Struthio camelus: one gene and its partners. The protein of the gene in region 4 purifies or fractionates together with the protein of the main gene of each other region. This does not show direct contact. Links are inferred from orthologs where the notes say so. Each region holds a gene or a part of one and is shown on either strand. Other genes may lie near its edges. The genes, in order: PALS1, NF2, LATS2 and AMOTL2.

Region 1 (6,942 bases), on a different chromosome or scaffold from region 4:
AAGGCTGAAATGAAATTGGATTGCTCTATTAATTTCAAGGTTCAGGGTTTCTGCTGCTGGACTATGGGGGCCAAGAGAGATTTTTTTTTTTTCTTTTCTTACTTAAAACATAATTTAGCTTCTGCACTTTTAGTGATCTTTCACTCTTCTTTGAAACACTAAATACTGGATACAGCTGGCCCTACAGGTGCACTAGTTGATGTGTCTTGCTTACATGCTCAGGGTTAAACTGGTCACTAGATTTGAGGCCCGGAGAGATCAGATTGCTATAAATCAGAGCGGACAGGCCACTGTGGGATATTTTCATTTCCCCTGCAACACAGGGAGGATAGGTAGGAGAAGTCTAAGAAAGAAGGAGCTTGCTCTCATTTATTTTCAATTAAAGGAGACATTAAAATGGGAAGGGAAAAATCCTTATGAAGTCCTTGGACACAGGAGGAGAAGAGCCTATTTATATAGGTGCCAGTCATGAAATTAGAGAGCTAAAAAGAGGAGAAGACGATTTCTCAAAACCTCGCAAGAATAAAAGATCAAAAGGGAAAGGGCAGTCAAGATAATGAAGAAACAGCAGAAAGGTCAAGAAAGAGGATGGAACACAGACCCCGCCTTCAGGTAGGCAAGAATTCTTCAGGGATTCCATTAAAAATGTTTTGGCAAATAAGAGGGATCACACCAGTTTGGAAGGGATCCAAGTTGAAGTTGGAAGAGAAAGTACATCTGTTGTAGACTACATGTTCGGTGAGTTCAGAGATGAAGAGTTTAGAGATAAAGGGGAGGAGAGTAATGGGGCAGATAGATGGGGATTTCTTCTCCTCCAGCCTTTACTAACACAAGCACTGTTGCCACCGTGGCCCTTCTGACTTAGCATTCCTTTTTGCATCAGCCTGTAGAACCGCTCCTGGACGGTAAAACATAAATTCAGTTATGCAGTGATATAAAAGGGAATTTCTACCTAGTCCTTCTGTGATTTTTCATTCCCCCTCCAGAGGGCAATGGTTTCAAAGAAAACAGTTGGTCCTATGTTAGCCTCAGGACTCAACTTCACTGTCAGAAACATTTTTTTTTATTGATTACAATCAGCCAGATTTAGAATGATCAACGGTTATAGGAGTACCCTGCTGGGAGACAGTGATCCTAACTCACTTAAAAGTTATTTCATCAAAGATAAGCATTTTCTTTGTAAACGAATTTGTTTGCGGAATGAAAGAAGGTTCTACTTTAATAATAAACTAAGTTGCTTAAATACATTGGTTCTGTAGCTCCAAGTATGCTTTGATGATCCCATAATGACTGACAGTAAAGCCATTAGGAAGTGCATCTCTAAAATCAAAATGTTCAGGCTCCAAACTCATAAAAGGCCTCAACTGTGTGGGTATTTCTTTTCCGATTATCTTTCACCTGAAGATAATCATTAAAAGCTTTGAAGAAGAAGGGATGGAACAGCAGAGGCAGTACTCTGGTAAGTAATTTTCTGATTTCCATTAAGAATTGTCTTAGTAGATCCTCATATCAAAGATCAGTCAGCTAAGACAAAATAAATAGAGACTTTCCCCATCATTTTTCCATTTCCCTCATCTTCCTCATTCTCCCATTTGTCCTCTTTCTTTGTAGCTCTTGTTTTTAATTTGCCTGTTTTGTTAAATTCAAGCTGGAATGTTGGTTTTCCCACAGCAATTTTTGTGTTCTTCAGCATACTAATAAACAGTACCCACAAGGCAAAATGAACTGGCATTTAGATCTGTTCATTTAAATTGCTATCACAAAGATTTAAAGGAAAAGGTTATCTGGCTCTTTATGAATAATGCTGCTGATCCTGTGCGCTATTGTGAAACCTTTTTCAGGTATGACAATTTCTTGGTCTGAGAGAACATTTTAATCTGTTGGGTAGAATTAGCCAAGCATGCCTCATTCAAGCATCTTATGAATGGATTTGCCAGCTGGGCAAAGGCTAATATTAGGGTTTGTGAAAGCCTGAGGGAGGAGATTGGTTACCAAAGAAACAAACGCATCTTTAAGCAGCTATATTCAAGAGAAATCCCAAGCTCAGCCTTAACCTGGTCTGGCAACCCTTGAAAAGGATTAAAACTTTAGCTACAAATATAAGATAAGAGAACAAAGGAGAGAAATAGAAAATCTAAACTGGTGCGAATGTTTCTCTGATCTGTGATAAACTGCGTAACATTTTGAAGAAAACTCCTGTGTTTAAAAACTGGCTTTGGGCAACACACACACTAGAGGCACTGAGATTTTCACTGAGAGTGACAAGCTGTCAACTGAGGGAAGCTGTAACCAGAACTTGTGGCTTTTTTAGTCTGTTCACACCAAACTTTGATAGAGAAAAGAGAGTAAACCAGCGATCGGTTTGGATGAGGATGAAGACGAGACCACTGAATAGCCAACTGCTAAACGTAGACACTTTTTGTAGCTATTGTAACCTCTAAGCAAGTATCAGATTTTGAGGAAGTCTTTTTTGGTTCTCAGGTCCTTTCCCAAAACAGTGTGTAAAAAAGGGTTCACGTGAACCCTCACCATTTTCATACGAAGGTGGAAAGAACTACTTCTGGTGCTGCTCAGCCATGAGTTAGTACTGTAATGTTCTCCCTCCGTTTCCTTTGCAAAGTAAGTAATTCCACAGTCCACCCATATTGCTATTTCTTGTACTGCTTCACTTTTTCCACTCCTGCTCACTTGATTCAAACGCCCTTGTTACTGAACAAGGTCAGAGCTGAAACAGTTGATTCTGATAGTGAAGAGACATTGCTGCTCTGAAAATGAAAAACTCCAAGGGAGCCTGAGCCACAGTGTGAAAAGGTCTTAACAGTGTCCTCTGCAACTGACCGGACAGGACGTACATTAACGGCAGGTCTGTTGGCCATGTCATATGCTCAGGAATCATGGAATCTGGTTTTGTGGCTTAAACAGAGAGAATCTGCGTGTTCAAAAGGGATCCAAACAAAACATGGTATAGGAAGGCAATTTATAGGAAGTTAGAAGTGTGGATTTCATAACTGAAAATGATAGAGTTGTAATGATTAAACTGAAGCAAGAAGAGATGGGCAAAAAGGAGGTGTCTCTTTAATGGCTTTTTAGTGGCCTACGAAACTGTTTTTTCTGGCCTTGTTATGTGGAACTAGCTACCTTGGCAAGGTCAAGTCATCTCAGACTGCTGTATTTCTTTTAATGCCTCAGGCAACGGTCTTCGCAGGCTAGCCTGAAAAACAGGGGGCGGGAATGCAGTTTTTAGTTCAAAGTCAAACTAAACTGCAGCGCTGAAGATGTATTTCCCTGGTCTCGTAAAGCAGCCACGGTTATAGACCTGGTAAAACCGTGTTTAATGACCTCTTCCCTCCACTCCAGACAGCGGGTCTGTGCCTGACCCTCTCCCTGCTCTTCCAAAGCTGAATCTCAGAATAAGCATTTTTCTTCCCGTAACAGTCCGACTCGGCCTTCGGCTGGGATTGCGAGGCGACAAGGGGAGACGACGGGCAAGGAAGGGACGGCGGCGGCAGGCAGCGCCCCGGGCCCCCGCCAGCCCAGGCTGCCGGCGGGAGGCTGCAGGGCGGCGGCGGCGGGCGCAGGCCTCGGGGAGGACGGAGCCGCCCTTCAGGGAGCAGCGGCTCCAGCTGCGGTGCCCCGGCGCGACCCAGCGAGCGCCGCGCAGGGGCGGCACACGACGCCGGCGCCACGGAGGGCCTGGTTTCCGCCGTGCCCCCCGCTCGCCTCTCGACGCGAGCCGCCTGCAGCCCTCGCCCGCCCTGGAGTGACCATGACGGCAGCCGTTGGCGGCCGCCGCCCTCCCTCAGCGCCCTCCCCTCCCCCCTCCCGCGACGCGCCCCCTCAGCCGGGCGGCTCGCGCGCCCCCGCCGGTTGCGGCGGGCGGTGGGCGGGTCCCGCGCGTACGTGCGTCGGGGGGGAGGGGGCGGGGCGGCGGCGGCGCTGGGAGCGGGCGCGGGGGCGGGGCCGGGCCGGGCTGCGTTTGGCGGCGGCGGCGGCGGCGGCTGCGCAGCTCGGTGGGGCTGGAGCGGTAGTTGTGTCTGTGCGTGCGCGGGCTCGGCGCGGGGACGTGCGGGCGGCCGGCCGTGACTCCCAGCCGGTGGCTCGGCCGGAGCGTGACGACGGCGGCGGCGGCGGCGAGGAAAGGACGGTGAGCGCAGCCCGCGTTGCGGCGCGGAGCTAACAGGTCCCGGCGGGCAGCCGCCAGCCCGGGCTGGCTGCGGAGCCTGGCCGGCGGCCCTGCCCGCGGCGCCCGCACGGGCCTGCGCCTCCGGCCGCGCCGCGCCGGCGGCCGAGGCGGCCCTCGGGGGGACCGGGCAGCGCCCTGGCCGCGGAGGGCGGCCCGGGGGGGCGGCCCTGGCCGCGGTGGTCGCAGGTGCCTGCGCCGTTGCCGGGAGCGCGTGGGGCGGGCGGCGAGGGGGCCCGGCTCGCCCCGCCGAGAGCTTCCCCCCACCTCCGCCGCCGCCGTGCCGGGGCGGCTGGCCGGGGCAGGCGTTGCGAGGGCAGGCCGAGAGGTGATAGGAAGCGGCTGTTCTTCGCTGTGCTCTCCGTGAGGTGGCAGGAGTGGCCGTTTTGTTTGGGTGGGGGGGTGGGTGGGGGGGTTGTTTGCTTTGTTTTGGTTTGGTCGGTTTTGTTTTTGTTTTCAATAAGGGCGCACTTAATGCTTCTCTCCCTTCTTGCACTTCCGATCTGCCGGCAATTCCGTGTTTTGGAAACTTTTGTCTCTGTAAAGAGACCGCCGGTTTGTGGAGCTTCGCAGGATTAGTTTAAAGTAGGTTGAGTATGCCCTGGACTGCCAGTGTAGTTTAATGATCTGCAGTGGGGAACGCGCGTATTGGTGAGGGCGCGGCGGTACTCTGGAGGCTGCGCTGGGAACGTCCCTGCCCCGGCGGTGCCCTCCTGCCGGGAGCCCGGGCAGGGGTTGCGCGGGCAGGCGGCAGAGAGCACGGTGACTTGGAGCGTGCGACGTCAGCTTGCGCGAGTACCTTAAAGGACTTTGTATTTGGTCGAACTGAAAACTGTTGATATTTAAAAAAAAAAAAAAACTGTCCAAAATAATGACTTTAATGTCTCATAGGTGAGACAGACATTCTGGGGGAAAAAATTGAATAATCAGGAATATGAAAAGGGGAAAAGTCAGCTTGAAGCCCTTATAATTGAAATGTTTGGGCATAAACTAACTGCATCAGTTAGAAAAATACTTGTGTTTTGCATAACTGGACGTTGTAGTCGAGCTTTTAAAAAGTGACTGGTGTTTTTCTTTAAGTGTCTGCCGCGTTGGTGCGCAGCTTCAGGCGTCTTGAAGGGGCCTGTCTGTCTCTTTGGAGAATTGGGGTGTTTTTCCTGAATTTCCTAAGAATAGGATATCTTTGATGTGTCTCTGGTTAGGCGTCTGAGCCTGTAATCTTTTCTTTTTGATCTGTCATCTGAATTTTCACAAATGCTACTTCTTTTTTCTCATAATCACCTTAGAACTGTAGTTACACATTTAAATGTCCAATGCTGTAGAGTGTAGCTGTGTTTTGTACATATATTAACTGTTTGCCAACATACTGTGATCCAAAAACCCTCTGTATTTTACATGCTAAGCTGATGGTTTAACAAAGCATCAAATATTTATATTGCAGCACTTTGTGAACCAGTGTACTACAATGTTAAATTTAATTAACATTACTCTTAATACACGATCACTCTTTTCAAAGTAGCCCTTTCAAACTTTGCCTCCTTCTAATGTGTATCATGTGTCCTTACGGAGTATGGAATAGTTATGGGTGGTAGTTTGTGTTCTGTAGGAATTAGATGATGGTAAAGGTGGTGTTTTTACTTAAATTTTACTGAATTTGCTTTCACAAGATCTGAACTTACTTTGAAATGTAAATCAAAATATTTCTTCAGTAGGCTGACTTAGCTGTCTTAGGAATTTGCAAGAATTATTCAGACCATTGAGGGGTGCCGGGCAAGCAATATGTGATGTAGAACCAGTAAAAATGTAATATGGAGGTTAGCCTTTGTACCGAGGATTATGGACACATAAAACAATGTAATCTGAAGTTTATGTGTGTCTGTATATTTTTTTCCATGTAAATAATTATATTTTCATAACACTTTATTTGCTGCTTTGTAATCAAAATCTCTTACTATAGTGAGTTTGAAGTTGCAATCTTTCAAAAATCCTGCGGCATTTGTAGATGTAAATTCTGTTATGATGTTTCCTTAAAGACTGACGCTTAACATCAAATAATAAAAGTTGTAACTACCTGTTTCAACTATTCAGATTTCCCTAATTTGCACTTTTGATTAACTACATTCCTAATAAAATATTAGGCTTTAGAGTTCTGGTAGCTAAGAGTTCAAACAGTCCGCTGCTCCTTAGAAAAAAGGATCAGTATTTGTGTTCGTATGTCAAATTTAAAGTTCTTAAACTTTGTAGCATCTGGCCATTTAAAAAAAAAAACTTCTTAATGTGACAAGTAGTATTATAGAAAGGCTTGATATTACGGTGTTTGGATAATGGGCCAAGTGAGGCATTTGTGAATTTGAAAAGATATGCTGGTACATATGTGATGGAAACTGACTTGGTGGAAACACGGCCTATTCTGTAATTTTAAATCAGGTGTGCTGTAAAAAGTATTTTTCTAGTATAATTATCTACTGAAGCGCTTTATCCAGCACAGTGCTTTATCCAGTTCTGGCGGAATAAGTGTTTTATGTTTATGTCCTCCTCCCCACGCTTCTGACATAACTATGTAGTGAAATACTTTAAATATAATTCAAGTTGAAATGTGAGGCAGATTTCTAAACAAAAGGAAAAAATTATAGCCAGATAAGTTATTTATATGCCAGGATATTTTCAAATAAGCTTTTTTCTTTTTAAAGCAGTTGTGATATACTATGCCTATCTATTGATAGACACTTGTTTTATAGTCCCGAGGATGTCCAATTGCATAC
Region 2 (7,275 bases), on a different chromosome or scaffold from region 4:
CAAATTATGAATCTTTAAAGTGAAACCCCAGCTGTGATTATTAAGTTCCATCACAGCATTACAAAGATTAAGATCTCATTTCTGCGCATTACTGCGGATTTAGACTCAATTTAGGGACATTATTTGCAGAACAGACAGATGCAAAGCAGGTTTAATCTCCTGAAATGCACAGCTGGGGATTCCTACAGAACAGATTTAAAAATGAGCACATTAAAAAAAACGTGCTGAGCAGAGTGGGTGAGCTTAAGCCACCCGTTGTACTTCCCGCCGTGAGGGAGCCAGTTATTGATTACTGCTTCTTCAGCCACACTGGCTCAACTGTTTCCACCAAGCCCTGGGCACCCTTAATGGCCTGGGCCTCCACTGGCATGTCCTCAAGTTGTTAACAATATCACAGGGCTGGGAAGCCCAACTGATGAAAACACACAGTAGAAAGCTGTGGAACAAAATATATATTTAAAAAAACAAACAGTCATACTAACGCTGCACAGAAAGGCAGGAGCGGAAGGGCAGTCACAGCAGCGGCTGCCTCCGCTGTTCAGAGGAAGGACAAAGATCCTAGGAGGTGGAGGGGATCAGGGACACGAGACACCAGCGAGGAAGGGTGACACAAATTGGCCAGCTCTGCCTGTAGCAGAGCCTCTCCCCACCGAGGCATGGCAGCCCCAGCACCAGGAGGGTTGCCGTGTTTATTATGGGTCCTGCGGCTGGAGGTGAACCAGAGGCACAGCTCCTGTTCCAAGGGACCTGCAGCCTTGGGGAGGAACTGCCAGCCCCTTGTTGCCTGCTGGCTTCATCCCGCTGTGGGGCCAGGAGATGACTGGAGAGCGGCAGCAAGGATGGGGACAAGCACATGGAGGAACAGCCTGGAAGCAGCAGCGATCCCCTCTGTCTTCCGCCCAGCCAGGCTCGCTGGGAGAGGATGGCTCATCGGCGATCCCCGACTCCTCCTCGGCACGTTTGGACAGGGTGGCTGCAGACCAAGCGAGTAGACACGCAGCTCGACTAGAACTCCCACCTCACCTGCACCAGACACAGCGCGAAACAGCCCCGTGACCTCCCCGCTTTGCTCCAATTTTCCCCAGGTCGAGCGCTCCTCTGCGCTGAGGGATGACAGCCAAAGTCCCACTGCGTCCTTCACCAGGGGAGCAGAGCAGCATCCCTCCCACAGACTCTCAGTCCTTCCTGTGCACAGAGAAGCCCATCGGCAGTAACAAGCTTTTTGGGCAGGAACCTCCCTGACAGGCTTTTCTTCAGATGCACGAGTTGCACATTTGAACCCAACCCGAGCGCGCTGCGTTCCCCTGTCAGAAATACCTGAAGCCCAACATGAAAGGACAAGTGGCCATACTATTAAAAAAGAAGTACGTCCTTTTCTTTATCATTGGCAGCCTCAGGAAAGGAGGCACGAGGCAAGCCAGGACGCTTCACCTCTCCTGGCAGAGTGATGGTGGGAACCTCACGCCACTGTGGGTGAAAACAAATCCTTAATCTCTGGGAATGGGAGGAAGCTCCGCAGAGCTGACAACACATTTCATCAGCAAGAAAGCTTACAAGGGCAAATACCTTTTCGGTTTATGGGCACTGGAATTGCAGCAAAATTTGGATCAGATGAAGAACCTTTCTTTTTAAACTAGTTTATGTTTTAATCTGGGTAGAGTTGGCTTTCAGTCATTAAGCGCCCAACTTAGAAGCCCAGCTGATCATGTAAAAACAGTGATTACAAATTAGGCTCTTAGGAGCTGATATCAGCCCCCAAGGGAAGAGTGCCAAGGAATTATCAAGGGCCAGAAAAAGAAGGTATCAAAGAAAAAGATAAACAGATGAGAAGTGAAGATCAGAACATGATCTTGTGCCTTTGCAAACACATTTCATCCAGCGGATGGAACGGGCAAGTCATATAGCATTTGAAAATTTTGTTTTCCTGAGTGTTTTAAGTTGAATCCCTATAGATTTAAGCCTTGGCACCCAATATAACTCAAGCTCTAGTCTCCTCATGAGGCCTGCTGATCAGCAAGCAGCTTAGTTACAACAGTAAAGTAAATCCGAGATACAAATGGTCTATTTTCCTTCTCTCATACCTCTCCAAAAAGTTATCTTTGTGGACTTACACTTTTCGTGCCTGCTCTCAGCTAGGCTATAACGTACGGAAAGCACGAAAGCACGCAGACGCAGGGGCTCACCTTCCCTTTAGGCCAGGGTAAGGCAGCGGCGCGGGGCACTGAGCAGCAGCTTCCCCACTCTTAGTGACAGCCCGCCGCTGGGTTTGCGCCTGCTTCTGCTCCCTGCGTGCGGGGAAAGCCCAGACGGCAGCCGCCGGCGCGGCGGGAGAGGCGGCGGGCTGGCAGCCCGCTCCCAGCAGCGAGCCGCAGCCTCCGGCTTTCGCAGGGTCTCCTGCGGCCCCGCAGCCCGGGCCGCCCCGGGGGTGGAACCGCTGCCGCCGGGGCCGCGGCTCCGCGCTGGAGGCGACGGGAGGGAGCGGAGGCTCCAGCGGGGCCCGCAAACCCCTCGGCCCCGACGGCGCGGACCGCGGGCCCGGAGCGGGCGGCAGGGCCCTCCCGGAGGCGACGGCCCCCAAAAAGGAGCGGCGAGAGGTGGCGCGGGGGCGAGAGGGGGGCTAACGAGGGGGAGGAAAATCCCCAAACGGGCAACGCCAGCCCTGCCCGGCGGCGGTCCCCCCCCTCCCCGGGGGGTGTCGCCATGGCCCCGGGGGGGGGGGGGCGCCGCGGGCACAGGGGGCGGCGGCGGGGGGGGGGGGGGGGGGGGGCCGGTACCTCGCAGCTGAACTCCATCTCGGCGTCCATGGTGACGATGCGCACCGTGAAGGTCTTGGGCTGCTTCCTCTTCAGCGAGCTGAAGCTCATGCGGGAGGCGATGGCCCCGGCCATGACGGCGGCCGGGACAGGCAGGGCGCGGCCGCTCAGCGCTGCGGGCCGCGGCGCCGGGGCAGGGGCCGGGGCAAGGGCAGGGCCATGGCGGCGGCGGCGGGCGGGCGGGTGGGCCCGGGGGCGCCCGGGGGCCGCGCAGCGCCGGGCCGGGCCGCGGCGGAGCCTGCTGCCCGCGGCGCACCCTAGCCGCGGCGCTCCGCCATTGGCCCCGCGCGCAGGGTTGTCCCGCCCCGTAGCCACGGGTCGCGCTGGAGCAGCCGCCAATAGGAAACTTGCGCGCGCCCCGCCATGGTCTTTGCTTGCGAGGGACGGAGCAGCGGCTGCTGTGATTGGACGGGGCTGCCGCCACTCACAGGGAAGAGGCGGGCTTACTAGAGCCCCGCGCATCTGCCCCGCAGGTTGGGTTGAGAGGCAGGGCGGCCGATGGGCGCTGCGCGGGCGCCCCCTGGCGTCGAGGGGGACCAGGCGCTCCCCGGCGCAGGTCGAGCCCCAACGTCGGCGCGGCCTCTGTGCGCATGCGTACGAGGTGGAGGGCGGTTTTTTTTTTTTTTGGGGGGGGGGGGGGGATGTGCAACGGGCTCTAGGACCGTGCGGTGATTCCCGCCCCGGGATCCTGCCCCGGGATCTGCGTGCGCCCCCTGCCCCAGGATCCTCTACTGGGATCCTGCTGTGGGATCCTGCCCCAGGACATGCCCCGGCATTCTACCCTGGGACTGGCACTGGGATCCAGCCCCGGGATCTGCCCCGGGATCCTGTACCAGGATCTGCACGGGGACCCTGCATCTGGATCCTGCACAAGACCTGTCCTGGGATCCTGCCCCAGGATCTGCCCAGGGACCTGTCCTAGGATTCTGCCCTGGGAACTACCCTGGGATCCTATAGCAAGACCTGCACTGGGATCCTGCTGTGGAATCCTGCCCTGGTACCTGTCCCAGGATCCGGCATCAGTGATCTGCCCTAGCATCTGCCCCGGGATACTGCCCTGGGATCTTGCCTCAGGACCTTCCCTGGGATCCTCGCTCAGGATCCTACAGTAGGATTTGCCCCGGGAACTGCCCTGAGATTTGCTCGAGGATCCTGCCCCGGGATCTGCCCCAGGACCTGCCCCGAGATCTTGCCCTGGATTCTTTCAGCAATACTTGCACTGGGACCTGCGCTGGCATCCTGCCCTGGGATACGTCCTGGGACCTGTACTGGGATCCTGCCTTGGGATTTGCCCCGTGACCTCACCTGGGATCCTGCACCAGGATCTGCCCCAGGATCCTGCACTGGCATCCTGCCATGAGACCTACCCTGGGATCCTGTCCTGGGACCTGCACTGTGATCCTGCACCAGGACTCTTCCCTGGGATCTGCATTGGGATCCTGTCCTGGGATCCAGCAGCAGGATCCTGTCCCGGGATCCAGCACTGGGATCCTACCCCGGGATCTGCCCCGAGACGTGCCCCAGAATGCTGCACAGGGATCCGCTCTGGGAGCGGTCACCGGGAGCCGCCGATCCCTCCCCACGGCTCCGGGCAGCGGGGCCGCTCGCGGGGACCCAGGCGTCCGGGAGGGAGCCGCAGCTCGGTGAGCGGCCACGGTGCCCTGCAAGCTGGGGGTGGGGAGGGACGCGGGGGACACGGAGGGAGAAGGGGGACAAGTGGGGAGCCAGGGGACAAGGCAGGACACAGGGGATATGGGGGTACATGAGGAATATGCGGGAACAGGGGGGACATGTGGGGACACAGAGGGCAGATGAAGATAGCAATGGGGCAGGAGGGGGCTATGGGGCAGGAGGGGATTATGGGGCCAGAGGGAGCTATGAGTCCCTTAGGTGAGCAGGGCCCCAGACATCACGGTCCCTGTAGGAATGGGGCCCGGACGCCTGGGTCCCTGTGGTGAGGGGGGACCCAGATGTATCGTACATGCCAATACTGGCCTCTATGAGCTCGTGTGAGCCTGTGCCAGGATCTATGGGCTCGTATGGGCCCATGCCGACCTTTATCAGCTCATGGGCTTGTGCTGGCTTCTACGGTCTCATATGGGCCCCTGTCGAACTCTCCAGGCTCCTACGCACCCACGCTGGGCTTATAGGCTTGAACGAGCTCGGCATGGCTGTGATCTCATACGGGCCTGTGCTGGCCTCTGCTGTCTTGCACGGGCCATTGCTAAGCTCTATGGGCTTGTATGGGCTTGTTCTGGCCTCTGTGGTCTCCTACCTGCCCATGCCAGGCTCCATGGTCTTGTACAGGCCTGTGCTCATCTCTACAGGCTTATATGGGCCCATGCTGGTCTCTACAGGCTCGTAGGAGCTTAAGCCAGCCTCTATGGGCCCATTTTCACTTGTGCCGTCCTCTATGGGCTCGTATGCACCCGTCCTGAGCTCTACAGGCTTGTAAGTACCCGTGCAGGGCCTCTATGGGATCGAACATAGCTGTACCCACCTCTACGGGCTCGTACGTGTCCGTACCGGCCTCTACAGGCTCGTACAGAATCACAGAATCACAGAATCGTTTAGGTTGGAAGGGACCTCTGGAGATCATCTAGTCCAACCTCCCTGCTCAAGCAGGGTCCTCTAGAGCATACGGATGCCTACTGGTCTCTAGGGGCTCGTGTGCACCCATGTCCGCCTCTACAGGGTCAGACAGGTCCGTACTGGCTTCCACAGACTCGTATATGTCCGTACCAGCTTCTACGGGCTCACGGGGGTTTGTGCCGGTCTCTACAGGCTCGTACATGCCCATGCATGCCTCTACAGCCTTATATGGCCTCATATGCATCCGTGCCAACTTCTACAGGCATATACAGGCCCGTGCAGGGCCTCTACACGATCATATGCACCGGTATGTGCTGACCTCTGCAGACTCATTCAGGTCCATTCTGGCCTCTATGGGCTTGTAAATATCTGTACCAGCCTCTACAGGCTTATATGGGTTTGTGCCAGACTCTATGGGCTTTTATGCACACATGCTGTCCTCTATAGCCTTGTACTGGCCCGTGCTGGGCCCTGCAAACTCGTACGCTCCAAAACCAGCTTCTGCAGGCTCATACGGGCCCGTGCAGGGCCTCTACAGGATTGTCTGCGGCCGTGCCTGCATCTGTGGGCTTATACAGGTCCGTACTGGCCTCTATGGGCTTGTACAAGCCTGTGCTGGCCTCTATGGGCTTGTACGGGACTGTGCCAACCTCTATGGGATCGTACACAGGCGTGCCCCGGCCTCTGTGGGCTTGTATGCGCCCATGCCGACCTCCACGGGTCATATGTGCTCATGCTGGCCTCTACAGGCGTGTACACATCCTTGCTGGCGTCTACGGGCTCATACGCACCTGTGCTGGCTTCCATGGGCTTGTATGGGCCCGTGCCATCTCTATGGGCTCATACAAACCCATTCCAGCCTCTGTGGGATCATACACGCCCGTGACGGCCTCTACAGCCTTGTATGAGCCTATGCTGGCTGATACTGGCTTGTGTCGGCTTGTTCTGGCCTCTATGGGCTCGTAGGCACCCGTGCCAGCCTCTGTGTTCTCATAGGCACCTGTGCCGGGCTCCCTGGCCTTGTGCAGGCCCATTCCAGCCTCTACAGGCTTGTATGTGCCTGTGCTGGTCTTTACAGGCTCATAGGGGCTTAAACCAGCCTCTACAAGCCCATTTGTGCCCATGCTGTCCTCTACAGGCTCGTATGCACCCATAGCGGGGGCTTGTAGGGGTCCCTACCAGACTCTACGGGCTTATATAGGCCCTTGTCAGGCTCTACAGGTTCATACGCATCCATGCCAGCCTCTAAAGGTTTGTAGGTGTGCATGCTGGCCTGTATGGGCTCATATGGGCTCATGCCAGTCTCTACGGGCTCAGGCTAGTCTCTGTGGGCTTTTATGCACCTGTGCTGACCTTTATGGGCTTGCAGGGGGTCTGTACCGGCCTTTACGGACTCATATGCACCCGTGCTGGTCTCTACAGGCTTGTAGGGGCTTGCACTGGCCTCTATGGGGTTTTATGTGCCAGCGTTGGCTGCTACGGGCTCATAGGCACCCGTGCTGGGCTCTATGGGCCCATACGCACCTGAGCCAGTCTCTTTGGGCTTGTATGGGCCCATGCACGGCCTCTACAGGATCGCTTATAGCCGTGCCCGCCTCTGCAGGCTCTTGCAGGTCTGTACCGGCCTCTATGGACTTGTACACATCCGTACTGGCCTGTACAGGCTCATACACACCCATGCCTGCCTCTGCCTGGATTATATTGTATGGGCCCATGCTGAGCTCTGTGGGCTTTTGCGGGCCTGCACCGAGCTCTATGGGCTTGTACGTGCCCTTGCCAAGCTTGTACAGGCCCCTGCCAGCCTCTGTGGGCTCATACTGACTCGCACCAAGCTCTACAGGCCTTGTCCTGACCCGTACCGGCCTCTACA
Region 3 (7,056 bases), on a different chromosome or scaffold from region 4:
GTTAGAAAGCATGCCATACACCCCTTTTATGGGAAATTTCTGTAGAGTAGTAGAGCTCTACAGCAAAGCCCTATAGCATCAACCTGCTGAGACTGAGAATGTGTGTGACACAGGACACCCATATGAATTTCTTTTCCTCATGTTTAAGCGCTCTGAAGCTTATCTAAAGGATATCTGTGAGGTAGTGAGCTCTTCCACTTGCTATTCTCTAAGGGTATCCTGCAAACCTAACTCATACAGACTAAAAGCGGCACACGTGTCCACAAGCATCTTTGACAAGGTTTGTCCTTTGTTTTAAGGAAAGTGTTAAAGCTGTTCATCTGTATTTTGGTATTTCCGCAAGCAATAAATCAGCTATGTGTTCATGGCTCTCAGTGAAGATCAGGGGAACTGAAGAATCCCAAGTGCAGAATTTTGTCCACCTAGACAGGATATAGCAGCAGCTAGTACACAGCTTTAATAAAAGAATGTTTAAAAAAACGGTATCGCTAATCAATAGCATTGCAGCCTTTCTAGGAATACATCTTAACTAGCTACTAATTAAATGATACAGAGCAATTAACTGGTCTATAACCGTCTTTCCTCTCCTGACAGCAGCAAGCACCACATGGCTGGGTTTAGGGATCTGGGTTTTCTTCCTCTCTTCAGACCCTGTGCCAATGCTCAGGCCAGGGATGTGCTGGAGAAGCCTGCAATCCCCCCACATTTTTACAGCAAAGGACTGGTTTCCCACCTACACACACACTTCACATAAACAACTTTTGTGACCCTTAGCCTAAGCTTGAGTCTAATAATGCTAGGTCAGGCCAGCTGGAAGCTTCTGCAGCTTTCTTTCGGGTTTAGCAGTGTTGTAAATGTAATGCTGATTGTTTAGGCAGCATGAATGAGACCAGCAACAGCAGTTAAGTACCGCAGCTAACTGTAAATGTGTTTTATATTTTGCAGAAGGGTTTTTTAACTAAACACGTAAGAAATTGGAACATTTAGGCATTAGAGATGATTTACAGAGAAAGACAAGCTGCCTGCTTTTTAAAAATTTTCCTGTGATTTGTATTTTCAGAAAAAAATAAAGAGGCTTTTATGCTTAAAAAAAAATAGAGAGAGAGTATCTAATTCTGCCTAAGCATTTCTGACTGTACATCTGGATTTGGATAACTTCGTATCCTTCTAATCTTCACCTTGCCTACCACATGGATGTACCACCAATAGCCCTTCTGCCATCACGAGAAATGATTTTTCAGAATTGTTTTTGAGCTTCAAGCTATTCTGACTAAACAGTAGGGTTTTTTTCCCCTCCCTGAAGCACGATATACTCTGCACGAACTAGAAGCTTGACCATTACTCTTTTAAGATTCATTTCAAATAAATGTAACATTACTTTAACTACACCAAGTTAAAATGATTTTTGAATAAGTGATTTTTCTTCTTCAGTTGAGAAATACTAATAGCTGCTCTGCCAGTAAACAACCAACCACACAGAAGTGAAATGCTGAAGTCTCGTCTCAGCCCGCTAGCTATTCTCCCTCCGCTTCCTTCATTCACCAACTGGCTTCACGTGCCAGTGGCTCCGCGGAACTGGGAAACGCAAAACAAACTAAAGCTTCAGCTGCGTTTCGAGAGCAAAGTCACAAACCCCAAACTGGCAACCTGCTTCCAAGCCTATAAAACCCTGCAGGCACTGCGGTCAGGTGAACTAGCATTGCAGAAGGAAAGAATGAAGTTTGAAGAAATTGCCACAATAACCTTCTCTCTCTAAAATTAAAGCTATTGTTTTTTTTTTCTTTTTTTCTGCATTACAAACTTATGGAAAGGGGAACTGCCTGCTTTGTACTAAAAGGTCCAGGACTCACAGGGGCGGGGGGTTCCTGGCATTTCACCCCCGTACAAACCACGCTCCCCTTTGCACACCAAAAGCGGTGAGGAGAACTGGAAAAAAACAAAAAACCAAAAAAAATCCCCCAGTTTTTTCCCAAACCTCTCCTTTCCCCCTGCTAACGAAACTGCCCAAAAGTAACTCCGCGCCTGCGTCCCGGGGCAACCACGAGCCCCGGCCCAAGCCGGCGCTACGGGCGGGGGCTCGCCGGCCGCAGCGGAGCGGAGTGACCCCTCGCACCACCTGGACACTACGGGGCTGGGTGGGGGTTTTTTGCTACTGTTTGTTTTTGGCCTTTTTTTTTTTTTTGCGTCATTCGCGCAAGTGCCTTTCAGCGGGTACGCGCTTGCATCAACACACCCACCCCGCTCGGGAGCCACCTGAATTTTGGCGGCGACCTTCAGCTGCCTGGCAGCGGCCGGGGGCAGCGGCGCGGGGCTCCCCCCGGCGCTTCGGCGGCTCCAACCCGGCCGGGACACCCTCGACGGCGGGGCCGGCACCAGCAGCGCCGAGCACCCCGCTGAAACCTCCCCGCATCAGCACGGCCGCGGCCACCCGGCCCCGGCCCGGCTGCCTCCCTCGCGGTGCCGCCCGAGGCCTCCGGGCGAGGCGCTGTCACACGGCTGCCCGCTCGGGCCGCAAACACGTCGGAGGGCGCGGGCAGGGCGCCGAGGGAGGCTGCCCCGGGCACCCGCCGCAGCCAGCCGAGCCCCGGCACCGGCCCCGCCGCCGGCCGACGCGCCCGACCCTCTGGCGGCCGCTCTTTTGGCCCCTTCCAACTTTCCCCCCCCCCCCCAACAACCCCGTCCCGACGGTGACCGGCGGTGGGGGAGAAGCCCCGGGTTGGGGGGGGGGGGGGGAAGGAAGCCGCGCTTTCGCTCGCTCACCACCTCGGGGTGCCCCGCGCCGCCCGCCGGGGTAGCGGTGGTGGTGGTGGGTCCGTCAGGGAGCGGCGCGGCGGCGGGCGCCGCGGGCCCGACGGCGCGGGCCGGTCTCCATCTTCTCCCCCTCGGCCGTGGCGGGCGCCGAGTGCAGGGCACAGTTGGGACATTCGCTACATTGTTAGCATTCCATTCGCGTCACGTGACCCCGGGGCGCCCGCGTCATTCCACTCCCCCCCCCTCCCCACCGCCACCGCCCCTCCCGGCACATACCAGCGGGGGGAGGGGCTTCGAGGCGGCAGGGCGGGAAGGGCCGTTAGGGCTGTGGCGGCCCTCGGGGGGCGGGGAGGGGGGGGAAGCGGAGGGCGGAGGGGGGGGACCCCCCCTCCGCCCTCCGCTTCCCCCCCCTCCCCGCCCCCCGAGGGCCGCCCTTCCCTGCGTTTAAAGACAGCTCGTGGCGCTTTCTTCCCTCTCAACTCCCCCCTTCCCACCTCACTGCCCTCCCTCTCCCCCCCCCCCGCCATCTTCTCCCCCCCCCCCCCGCCATCTTCTTCCCCGCTGCTCCCGTCCGACGAACCGGCCCTGCCTTGCCCCAACCGCCTTCCCCCGCCCTCCCGCACCTCGGGGCCGCAGGGGTGGGAATGGCGCTGGGACGGTTTAGGAAGGGGGTGAAGAAGGTCCCCTCGGCTTAGGGGACTCCCACGACTCCTATTAACGGAGAGTTTTAAAATGAGAATTATAGTTGCTGTTATTCCTTACGTGTTCCTGCCGCTTTGTTTTTTTTTTTTTTACTGGGGGGGGGTGAGTTTAGCTCGAAATCAGTGCCTGTTTGGGATTTTTTGAGTTTTTTTCCTGGTTTGAGTTCTTTGGGGGAGGTTGTTTATTTCTACTCGGGTATTTATTGTTGTCATCACGAGGATCAAGGGTGCTGCGAGGTGCCAGAGCAGTAGTAGCGGGACAGCCAGGCAGCTCGCTTCTGGATCAAAAATTCAGTCGCAATTCGGTCGGGATTTTTGGTCGCAAAGCTTGCGTCGGACCTCGTTACGGATACAGCAGCCTGGAGCTGAGCCTGTTTTTCATGAAAGCAGGGGTGTTTTGATGTTAGAGCTCTCTTTGGTCCCTCGTAAAGACCGATTATCAACCAGAGATCGGTGTCCCTGTCTCTGTCCCCCTCAACATAGCCATGTTTCGATCCGGGAAGGAGGTTGATTCTGGCCCCTCAGTGTCACAGACCCCGACACTAGCAACAACCAGAGGATACGAATACAAATTAAGAACAATGAGAAAGTAAATATATACATAAATGTGTGTCTTCAGACCATTAACGTGGAAGAAGCCTGCAGTCCTGAAATGAAACTTGAAAATGCTTGAAATTCTGGTACAGAGCTGTGAGGAGGAACTGTGTCTGAGCCACGGCAAGAGCCGCTTGGCAGGGAAAGTTGTCGACAGTATGAGGGGAAATGTCAGTCCCGCAAGTGCTGAAGACCCACGGTCGTCTTTAATCATGTGACGAGTCCCACTGTCTTGAACAGGACTGTGGGGGTATATAAAGAAAAGTCTGCGCATAACTGTCTTTCTAGGATGGGAGCTATATTTACAGCCTCTTCAAAGCCAAGGGCACTATTTTTGTGAGTAATGTTACTCATCTACGGTCCTGTCTAAGGCTATTTCTTTAAGCTTGTTTGTCATCTTTTTTTTTTTCTTTAATTTCCATCACGCAAACTGTCAATAGTGCTTATAAATGACGCTGGTCTGGGAGGAGAGGGGGATTAATGGTAAGTGACTGCAAATAAACTGCCGTTATTTCATGAGAAAAATGCCGCCTGGTGCACAGGAATTGTTCAGTGTCTCATCTGAGGTCAGCCGCTTACTGTATATAAATTACTGTCAGAATTTCAATAGTGTCATTGACTGGAATATGTTCCAGGGGGAGGAGGAAGGAAACCTCCAACTCTAGGGAGCTAAAGAAACCCATTAGGTTCAGAGCAGATTCCAATGCTGACAGACTAGTGCAGGGTAAAGTGGCTCATTTTGCAATCCTCAAATACCTGCAGAACTGAAGTAAATTTTAAATGATATGACAGATGCGGCATGGCTTCATTTTCTGAATTACTGCTATACTTAACTGATGAAGTATAGCAACGTGATTGCCCAAACCAGGGATTGCTCAATGGCTTAAGACCTTTTCCCAATAAAGTTCAGGCTGCCTTAAAGGAACAGCATCAAGATAAAAAATGCTTACTGTGTGCTAATATGTCCTTTCTTAAGATGTGGCAGTCATCTGCATTATTAAATCTAGGTAAAAGAGATCTTTTATTTTTCTCCTTCAAACCTATTTGTTTTCCTTTTGCATACCAGTCCATCTGGAAATGAAACTCAGCTGGACTGCTTTCCCCCCCTCGGATCCAGCTCCACTTTCTGCATTCCATGTGTTGGCCAGAGCTGCTGGGTCTGGATCTGGGCAGCAGAGCCACAGGTACAAGAGAGATGGCTTGCATCTGCTCTCTAGAAAGTACCCATATTAGGCTGGTCCACCGCAGACTGGCAGCCTCTTCAGACTTTCTGCTGTTAGCCTTGAGAAACCCAAACTGTTAGAAATCATCTTCCTCAAAAATACTACAGGAATGGAAGTTGTAACATGATTCAACTTCTCCGTTAAAACATGATTAGATCTCTGTAAGTATTTGGAGATTACTGTGTACCATTCAAGTCTTTCCTCCTGACTATGTTCTACACAGTCAGATATTGCCGGAAGGAAAGATGCTACATAAAAAGAACAATACCGTTTGTCTGTATGAGCAGACTAGACCATGAGATAATAATCTACCATGAGTAAGGGGCAGTGTTTCTATCCATGGCTCTGCTCAAGTGAGTGACTCTGCTGGATCTATGATGATTATAGCATTCACCTCTTAACTTGCCTGAGCAGCTGTCTGCCCTGCTATGTGGGTACAGTGGGAGGGACCAAGGCTCCAGGGTTTCACGTTCCTTCTCTTTCCACCCACCTGAGACAGCGAGAGAAGCAGGAGCTCTGTGCAACTCACTTCCATCCCCTCACATCTAATGCAGTGAGTAGCTTTTTCCCCTCCCCGTACTCTTATATCACCATTAGCTGGGCCACAGTGTGACTCTTTCTAAACTATTATATTTTGAACCAATTACCAAATCGTGCTGCTAAAAATACTCCTAGCAACCAAATAATTGTGAAGTGGGTGGATGAACTTTTTCTTTGCACAGTACTAGTAGTCAAGAAGCTACTTTGAAACCATTCAGAAAACTTGAAAAAGAAAGATAAAGCAAGAATATCACCCACGATGTCTAATCCTCTGCCTGTCTTTTTTCATAGAGGAAACACACACACACACACACACACACACACACACACACACACACACACACACACATACATAAAAGGATTATGAACATGTGAGCATATGTGTGTATAAGCACACAAGCACACACACAAACAATTTTGCAGACAGTGACATCCTTCACTATGAGAACATGTCTAGAACAAACCACTGGTTTATGAAATGAATGATGTGCAAGGAAAGAAGACTTAGGTAAGCAAGGAAATATTCTTGTTTTAAAAACATCTATTTTGTTTACTGATACTGGGCAATTATTCTTCCCGAATCTCCAATGCAAAACCAGTTAAAAACAGGAGTTCTGATTTTCAGTTCTCCGGTGGAGTATAGGAAACTTAACCTAGGCGTGTGAATGTAACGTATGCTCAACAGTGATGTAAAGTGACACTCGTGCCAGTCAAAGTCAGGCTCGATGGTTCAGTAACTGGATGGGTGAAAATACAAATAACTAAATTCTAACTTTGATTTAGCTGTGCTTTTTATATCAGGACTATTTCTATGAGATCCATCGTGATGCTCTGTTTGGATGACAAAGGTGAAGAGAATGTAAGCACTGGTACTTTAGAACTACCTTTGATTTCAGCACAAAGCAGATGAAATAGGACAAATCTGACCTTGAAGTTGACTCCACTTTGCAGACAAAGCATGAACCCAGGCTCACTGTACTGGGAAAGGCATTTTGGAGGCTCAGGCTGCCATTATAGTCTTCACTCAGAAAGTTGAAAACACTGGATTTCCCAAGGACCCATGTTCCTATGTACTCTGCTCCCAGCCCCACACTTCTTGTCAATCATTGACTTCAGCAGGAGCCCAAGCAGCGCCTGAGAGGGCTGAAGGAACGTCGTGATTTTGTGTGGTATTTAACCAACAGAAGCCAGCTGTACTATCTGTTTGCGAAGGAACTGGCCAAGTTTTCAAGGCCCTACCGTTGGCT
Region 4 (7,642 bases):
CGCAGGCTCCCCGGGTGGCTCTTTACTAAAAGAGCTCTCCAAGAGACTACGAATACATCCTTATTATATTTTGAACGCGGTGAGCAGGGGCTGGCCTGGCTCCCCTGCCGCCCTCCCCACCACGTCCCGCACTGGAGCAACTGCTCCGAGTTCCTCGACGTCCCAGCAGCAGCCTGGAATCCCCAGAACGCCGCGCGGCCGCCCTGCCGGAGCCGGCGCGGCACGGGACCCCGGCCGGGCTCTGCCAACGGCTGGCCGCCAAGCGACCGCATTCCTGCGGGATGATATAGGAGCAAGAAAGAATAAATACATCTCCCTTGCAGCTCCCCTTCCCCTCTTTGTTCCCCTGGAAAGAGAACATTTCCTGCCAGAGATGCTATCGTTTTTTGTCCGGCTAGGTCAGCGAGGCAGGAACCGTGGTGCGCGCTTCCACCTTCCCCCAGTGCAGCAGCAACCTGCAACTCTCTTCTGTCCCTCTTTTTGTGCAGCAGTAGAAGCAAGCCCACTCCAGATGCCGGCTGAAGGCCTGATGCTCTGTGCTTCCCAGAGCTGCCCTAGCAGATTTTTACGTGGGCCCTGTTAGAAAGAACCTGAGGACGGCAGAGCCAGGCTTTGCCAGCAGTGTAAAGACACTAAAAGGAAGGAAAATTGCCCTGTGCCTTTTTATCTGCTCCACTAACAACCTTCACCAGCCCATAGCTCCATCGAGCAGAGAGAGAGGCCTTCATCAGCTTCCCTAGAACTCCCCTGTGGCATGGAGAGCACGTCAATCCAGTGCTAACCTCTCTCCCTTGGACAGCATGCAGCTCTCTTTGTGCCAGCGTTATTTGCTCTGTCATCAGCCTGCAGACTCCCCCCAGCTTGGGACCACAAGGACAGGTTTCCATGGAGTGGTGAGTACATTTTCCTTCCACCCTGGCCCATGCCTGTTCCAAATTTAGCCATTTCCTGATCTGGTTCCAGCTCCTAAATTAACCCAAAATTCCGTCCAGAGCATTGGGGGGGGGGGGGGAAGGATCTTTGGAGGCAGTTGAATTTTCATTGCCAACTGGAAAAATTGACCTCCAGTTTGGCTGCACCAAGGGCAAGTGTGGCCTTGGCACTTCAATAGGGAGATGAGAGGACTGGTGTGGTCAGCAGGTACAGATGGTGCCCCACAGGTGAGCAACAGGGGCACCTATGGCTCCCAGAGCCCCCACAAAACCTGGTGCAGGGGCCTTGAGCTAATCCGAATCCAGCGCTGTGAGAATGAGCAGTTCAGCAGTGGTGCTGAGGTTGTTGCATGCCCCATGTGCCCAGTTGGCTCAGCCCTCTCCTCCAGGGAGTGGTGAGCCGTAGAGCACCCAAAGCTCCCATCGCTCTCTGGGGTGCGCAGACTGCGTCCCACTCTGGGTGCACAACTTGTGGCTAGCCACTTCAGCCTAGGATCTTCGTGCTCCGCAAACCCTGGCTTATCCGTGCGCTAGGGGCACCAGAACAGACAGGACACTGGGCTGGGAGTCACCTCCTGAGCACGCTGCACCCCCAGAAGAGCTCATCACCTGTGCAAGGGGCTGTAGGTTACCTGATGTCAGGGTGCTGAAATGCAGGACCTTCCCGCGAGCAGGGTCTGGGATCCGCCAGGTAAGCAACCGAGGCGTCCTGGGAAGGCAGGACGTAGGGGTACTCTGGAGGAGGTCCCCGTGGCTCGGTCCCCTCGGAGTGGTGGCCTCTGAGGGCAGAGAGCTGGTAGTGCCTGGAAAGCTGGGGGTAGCTGTGAGAAGAGCTCATGTGGTTCTGCGCCTTGGCCCCGTTCCTCTCCAGGGACATCTGCATGAGGCGTTCGCTCAGCGACCTCACATGGCCGTGCTTCAGGTCCTTCAGCGAGTCGTCCGGGCGCCTGCCGCTGCTCTCGGCCCTGCGCTGCCCGCTCTCGCCAGGAGCGGCCTGGCAGGCCCCCCCAGGCTGCTGCCCACCCCGCTGCAAGGCATAGTACTGGGAGTGAGCCTTGGCCTCCTCGTACGTCGGAAGCTCCTCGCCCTTGTGCTGGGGCTGGTAGAGCCGATACAGGCTGTTTTCCAAGTAGACGTGGTCGGAGTGATGCTCCTGGCCCTGGGGTTCCTGCCGCGTGGACTGCTGCACCATTTGGCTTTCTTCTTGGGTAAGGCTTTCGAGAGAGGAGCGGGGACTGCCGGTGCCGCCCGCTCCGCGCAGGGCTTGCTGCTGGATAGCCAGCAGCGTGCGGTTCTCAGTGAGGTTTCCGTATCTCAGCTGCTCCTGGATGAGGCGGTGCAGAACTGTCCCGGTTGAATCCTCTGCCGTCCTCATCTCTGCCTGCTCAGCTGGCAGCCTCCACTTCCACCAGAGAAAGATGTCCCCCGATCTAGCGGCAACTAGCCACGCTGAGGCACCTGTGAGGGGAGAGAAGGGACATCAGGAACCGGCCCAGGCAGGAAACAGCAAAAGCTTCTTAATGCACGCTCTCCAAGGGTTTTGTTTTCCAGGAATCCCGCTTGGGCGCCCTGGCAGGCATCCATTTCCCGGGGTGCGCTGGCCAAGCAGAAGCCCTCCGCGTCAGCGCGAGGGCGGACGGAGCCTCCACCGAGCCCGAGGGCTGAGCACCGGCCCCCTCCTCGCAGCCTGCGGGCTGCAGCCAGCTGGCAGGCTCCCGGCGAAGGCGCGCACCCTCCAGCCCCGAGCGAGCGGCGCTGCGGGCTCGTCCGGCCGGGCCGGGGCAGCGCGACCCCCGCCGCCGCCGCCGCAGAAACGGAGCAAAGCAGTCGGAGCAAAGCCGCAGGCAGCGCCCCCCCCCCCCCCAACGGAGGCGCCGGGCTCCCGGCGGGGGGGGCTCGGCACAGGGCAAGGCAGCGGCGCTGCGGGACGGGGCGGGCGACACTTACCGCAGCATGGCGAGGAGCAGCGCGGCCACGGTGCTGCCCGGGGAGCGCGGCCGGCGGCACTGCGCGCCGCGCCGGCAGCCGGGGGCCGGGCCGGGCCCAGCTATGCCAGGAATGCGGGGCCGGACCCGCCTCGCCCCGCCCGCCGCCGCCGGGGCCGGGGCCGGGCCGGGCCGGGCCGGGAGCGGCCGCCGACAGGGGGAGCCTCGGCGCGGCCCCGCGCCGCCCGGGGAAACTGAGGCAGGGCTGCCGGGGTTGCAGCGGAGTCGGCCACGGGCGGACCTGCAAACGCGCAGCTCGGAAAGGAGAGAAATCCATCTCCCGCTTCCTGCTCGCACCCCGAGCGTACTGCGGTCCCTCATCCCAGCCCGCTTTCCAGTTCGGAGGGCTAGAAAATCCCCGCCAGCCTTGCGCGTGGAGATCCCGCAAGGACTCGAGGGAAAACCCACCGGAGCTGGATAAGGCCGGGTGTGGCAGCGCTTTGCAGCCCTCCAGCGCGTGGCGAGCGCGGGGACGACGCACACTAACAGCTGGGAGCTGGTGGTGGCACCACCGGTGGTGCCCAGCTGGTCCGGGCCCTGGGCAAGCATGCACAGGGTGGAGGGGACGGGCTGGGGGCCGTGCACGTGCCAGTGTGGCACTGGGGGGCGGGCAAGGAGGGCTGGGGGGCCCCCGCACGCTGCGTGTGTGCGAGGAGCTTGCAGCTGCCCCGGGGTGGGGGGGGGCACGCGCTCCATGCGGGGGGGGCAGCCAGGCTCTGCCCGCCAGCTGTCCAGGAGAATAAAACTTCTTGTTTAATCAAGGCTCTGAGAGACACTCCATTGTCTCTAACACCAAATGAGCCCGATAAAAACCTGCCTGCCCCATCTGCTTCGCCTTCACGCTCCCCTCCCACCACGGCCCTCCCTTCCTCGCCGCCCCCCCTCGGGTAGGTGATGTCAACTCGCAGTGAGCACAAGGAGCGCAGATGCTTGGGGCCTTCCCAGGGCTGCTTCAGGCATCGTTTTCTCTGCTCTTTGAGGAGGCAAAAGGGTACGGAGATGCCAGGGTGAGGCAGTGAGCGGGGTGGCCTGGCATGGACAGCGTGGGACGCGCTCTGCTCGGGCTGTCACACTGGCTGTCCAGGCGTGGAAAGTGGATGGAGGCAGGGGGAGAGATGGAGGGGAGACAGGATGAGCCACAGAGAGATGAGCAACAGAGAGCAGGGCTTTTACCTCTGGCCTTGTTGCTGCTCTGAGGCTGCAAGCCTACGGGGAGGTGAGAGCAAACAGCGGAGAGGTGCCCCCAGCATCCTTCCTCTGCACGGGACCCTCTCCTACTCGCGGCAGGCAGGTCAGGAGGTCTCCAGAGCCAGGGACCCTCAAAGGGTGCCTGATCCGTGACAGCAGGCGGGAAACATGAGCGCTGACTGCGAAGCCCTACATCTTTTTGCATGCCTCAGCGCCGGCACGGTGCTGTGGGCCCTGGGAAGAGCTCAGCCTCTCCTCTGTGGTTGCGCTGATCTCCTTGCCCAGCCTCTTGCCTTTGAGAGAGATGGTGGGAGCTCACCCTTCCTTGCAGCCACGGTCGGGATGCTTACAAGGACCAGGCTTGCGCTGCGCTGACAGCCTGATTGCACTGGGCTTGGCCTCGGTTTCTCGGCCTCCTGCTGCGCCACAGGCGGGCAGCTCGGGTGAGGCCTGGTGGGTAAGGAGAGGTGGCCCCGGCCCCCTCGCTGGCTTTGCATTGACTTGGTAATTTCTGGAATGTGGCGATTTCCTCTCCCCTTCCCCGCACAATGCGAAGGGGGACGCAGAGGCAGCAATTTGCTCACCTCAGGTCAAAGATTAACTCCCTTTCCTCCCCTCTGCGTGGCCCCTGCTGCATATTTCTTCCCCCTCTGCCCCTGTTATCTCAGCAAGGGGGACGGAGGGAGCCATTCCTTCCCATCAGGAGACTGCACTCATTTTCCTCCTGTGCTGCTGCTGGGATGGAGCTGCAGCCCCACATGCCACAGGAGGGCCAAGAAACTCCTGGCCAGAGCCGTACTCTGCCAGGGTGCTGGGTTCCCCCTCCCCGGCAGCGCTGAGGCTACGTAGGCCTCAGGAGGAGCTGAAATCAGGGGTGCCTGGAAGGAGGGATCCCATGGGACCTGCCTCAGGAACAGTGTAGTCACCGCTGCTGTGGCAGAGACTCTGCGGGAGTACAGGGAGGGTGACCAGGCCAGTGGTCCTCTGGCTATAACCCGCCACAGGTCAGCACCCCAGTATACAGGAGCTCCCCGGCCAGGTACTGTCACTGGAGACAGCTGGCAGGGTTGGTACAACCTGCATGCAGTCACAGGGGTGACTGAGAGCATTGAGAGCATTGAGCATTGATTTACGGAGAGCAATTTGTGTCTGGGAAGCACGGTGAGGGGAGAAGTAAGGCTCTTGCAGCTGGATGGGGATTAGCCAGGAAAATAACACTGGCTGTTGCAAAACCTCAGAGCCCCAGCTCATATTTGGGGAAATAAAGAGAACCCATAACCACAGATAAGTCCGTTCCCAAAACAAGTATGTGAGTGATACAAAGACGTGCTGAATAAGACGCTGACCAACAGAAGAGAAATGCAAGTCCCATCTCGGCCTTTCCCTAGCACCCTGGAAGTCAACTGAAAACACGAAGGTGCTCAAGTCACAGCCCAAATCCTAACCCCAAAGGGAGTGAGGTCCTTAGCTGGGCACATGTCCTGCAACACCTTCCTCCAAGACCTGTCTCAAGGCATGAGCTGGCCAGGAGCCCTGAGGCTGTTTGTGCAGGGCCTGGGGCTTGGCAAGCTGGAGAAGAGTTTGCCCGTGGACGCATGCTGGGAACCAGCCTTAGAGAAGGCCACTTATGCTTCAGTCAGCCTCATTTTCCTGGCCTGAAGGACTCCTGGCACCACATTGTTGGTGGCGGGGTCAGGCAAGGCAAAGTAACTACGCCGATTAAAGGGTCCATTGGTTGCTCTAAGTTGCCTTGTTTTACTTGCTTTCAAGTAGAAACAGGAGGTTGTTGGGAGCAGCATCAGTTTAGTCTCTTCAGAGCCAAAACCCTCAGGGCAACTGGAGAGAGTTTGAAGCAGGCCAGAAGTGCCAAGCAGGAGCTTGGGCATCGCCGATGCCCTGCGACCCAGACAACTCATTGCATAGCGCTGGCTGTGCTTGCCACTAAACATCGGTGCCCAGTGGCCACGTCGTGAGTCGGGACACCAAAATGACAAGACCGAGTTCAGTCTTCAGGACTTTGGCTGGTGATTCTCATGCAGAGGACTAGCTGCAGCTGTCTTCTGAGTGCTGCAGCCTTTGTGTCCCAGCCTGCAGCAGGGAGCAGCGTCCTGGGCTCTGGCCTTTCTCCCGGTCTTAAGGGCTGCATGAAGGAGCGGGCAGCCCCTTCTTGTCTCATAGCAGCTTTCCCGCACCACACACGTGCCCAGCAGCCGCTGAGACGCATCGCTCACTGCTGCTGTCTGCAGGGCTCAGAGACGGCAGATGGTCAGAGGGCTGGCGGGGAGGGGGGGGCGGGCAGAGGGGCAGGTGCAGGGAAAATTGCTAATTAGATACGGGACGTTAAGCTCCCATTCTTGAGAGAGGGAATCCAGCACCTTCCAAACACGGAACAAAACCCCTTAGCCTCGTCCAGGCCTCGGTGTCTAACTGGAGACTCCTCAGCGAGCCCCGTTGCTGCTCCAGGCTGCTGTTTCCAGCCTCAAGAAAGTTTTGTCTCTGTGGATAAAGGAGGGGGCTCGGGGCAGAGAGGGGAGGACAAGCTGCTCAGGGGGAAAGTCTCTGCTCACAGAGCCCTGGGACTGAGCCAAAGCCCCTTTGGAGCCTCAGTTTCACAAGCAGGTGGGGAGCAGCATCCTTGGAAGAGACAACGGGGATTGCACTTGGGAGAGTGACAGATGCGTGCCCAGGACACTGCAGAGCAAGGCAGCACACGTCTGAAAATCACTCAGCTTTCCCCAGTGAGCCCTTCCATGAGTCCTTTGTAGGGTCCGAACGGAGCTGGATAGCTTGGTAGTGGTGATGTAAAACCACGAAAGCATTCAGAGCTGAGGAGCACGGTGAAGGTGCGTGTGGAGTTTGTGAGACGGGACATGTGCTTGGAGGAAGAGGAATGTAGTGTTACGGGCGCCAGAAGTCAGGGCAGATGAGACCAGACGCTGTGACTCCAGCGTGATCAATCTGGATTCCTGCATAACGCAGCCTTACAGCATCCCCGGGGATGTAGGTGTTGAGCCTATATTTAGCGCTTGGGAGGCCATCAAACAATAAAAGGGCTAAGAAACAAGAGCTTCCAGCGCCAATTTTTACTGATGACATGTCAAATCCACCCAGCTGGCCTCTCAGCGGGTGGAAATCAGCACAGGGCTTGCCAGTAAAGGCGATACCCCAAAACCCAGCTGCAGGTCTATCCTTTGCAGCTGAGCAGTGACTGGTCCTACCGCTGCCTTTCTGCAGGGAAGAGAGGAGGGCGCACGCAGAAGTCTCTCTCTTCGACACTGTTCCCGCCACGTCCCTGCGTCCCCAAACACATGCTGAATCTGGAAAGACCAGCTGAGGCCCAGGAGCCGCGTGGATGGACACACTACTCCGAGAGAATAAGGCCAGCAGCAAGCAAGGCTTCGCCACCTCACGTGGTCTCCAGCCGAGTAGGGACTTCTTGTCCAGGGCCCTGCTGTCGCTTTGCTCTCCAGGCAGGGCTGGAGCCCCCAGCTGCAGGGGTGAGTTCGTTGCGCAGCTGGGATGCAGAGGTCCAGCATC

Evidence for each region.
Region 1: the proteins of AMOTL2 (region 4) and PALS1 purify together in Homo sapiens (affinity purification with mass spectrometry; 3 studies listed by BioGRID and IntAct, counting the BioPlex papers as one, with this or other methods). This does not show direct contact. The link is inferred for Struthio camelus from reciprocal best matches to the Homo sapiens genes AMOTL2 and PALS1.
Region 2: the proteins of AMOTL2 (region 4) and NF2 purify together in Homo sapiens (affinity purification with mass spectrometry; 5 studies listed by BioGRID and IntAct, with this or other methods). This does not show direct contact. The link is inferred for Struthio camelus from reciprocal best matches to the Homo sapiens genes AMOTL2 and NF2.
Region 3: the proteins of AMOTL2 (region 4) and LATS2 purify together in Homo sapiens (affinity purification with western blotting; 3 studies listed by BioGRID). This does not show direct contact. The link is inferred for Struthio camelus from reciprocal best matches to the Homo sapiens genes AMOTL2 and LATS2.

What each region holds. Positions count from the first base shown.
Region 1 is NC_090946.1:46,765,853-46,772,794, reverse strand, and holds the start of PALS1 (protein PALS1), read left to right. Parts: upstream 1-3,938; 5' UTR 3,939-4,144; intron 4,145-6,942. UniProt on the Homo sapiens protein: Plays a role in tight junction biogenesis and in the establishment of cell polarity in epithelial cells.
Region 2 is NC_090958.1:5,129,439-5,136,713, forward strand, and holds the start of NF2 (merlin), read right to left. Parts: upstream 3,009-7,275; 5' UTR 2,889-3,008; coding exon 2,775-2,888; intron 1-2,774. UniProt on the Homo sapiens protein: Probable regulator of the Hippo/SWH (Sav/Wts/Hpo) signaling pathway, a signaling pathway that plays a pivotal role in tumor suppression by restricting proliferation and promoting apoptosis.
Region 3 is NC_090942.1:203,549,132-203,556,187, reverse strand, and holds the start of LATS2 (serine/threonine-protein kinase LATS2), read right to left. Parts: upstream 3,001-7,056; 5' UTR 2,761-3,000; intron 1-2,760. UniProt on the Homo sapiens protein: Negative regulator of YAP1 in the Hippo signaling pathway that plays a pivotal role in organ size control and tumor suppression by restricting proliferation and promoting apoptosis.
Region 4 is NC_090950.1:2,975,178-2,982,819, forward strand, and holds the start of AMOTL2 (angiomotin-like protein 2), read right to left. Parts: upstream 3,017-7,642; 5' UTR 2,880-3,016; intron 2,391-2,879; 5' UTR 2,308-2,390; coding exon 1,565-2,307; intron 1-1,564. UniProt on the Homo sapiens protein: Regulates the translocation of phosphorylated SRC to peripheral cell-matrix adhesion sites. Required for proper architecture of actin filaments.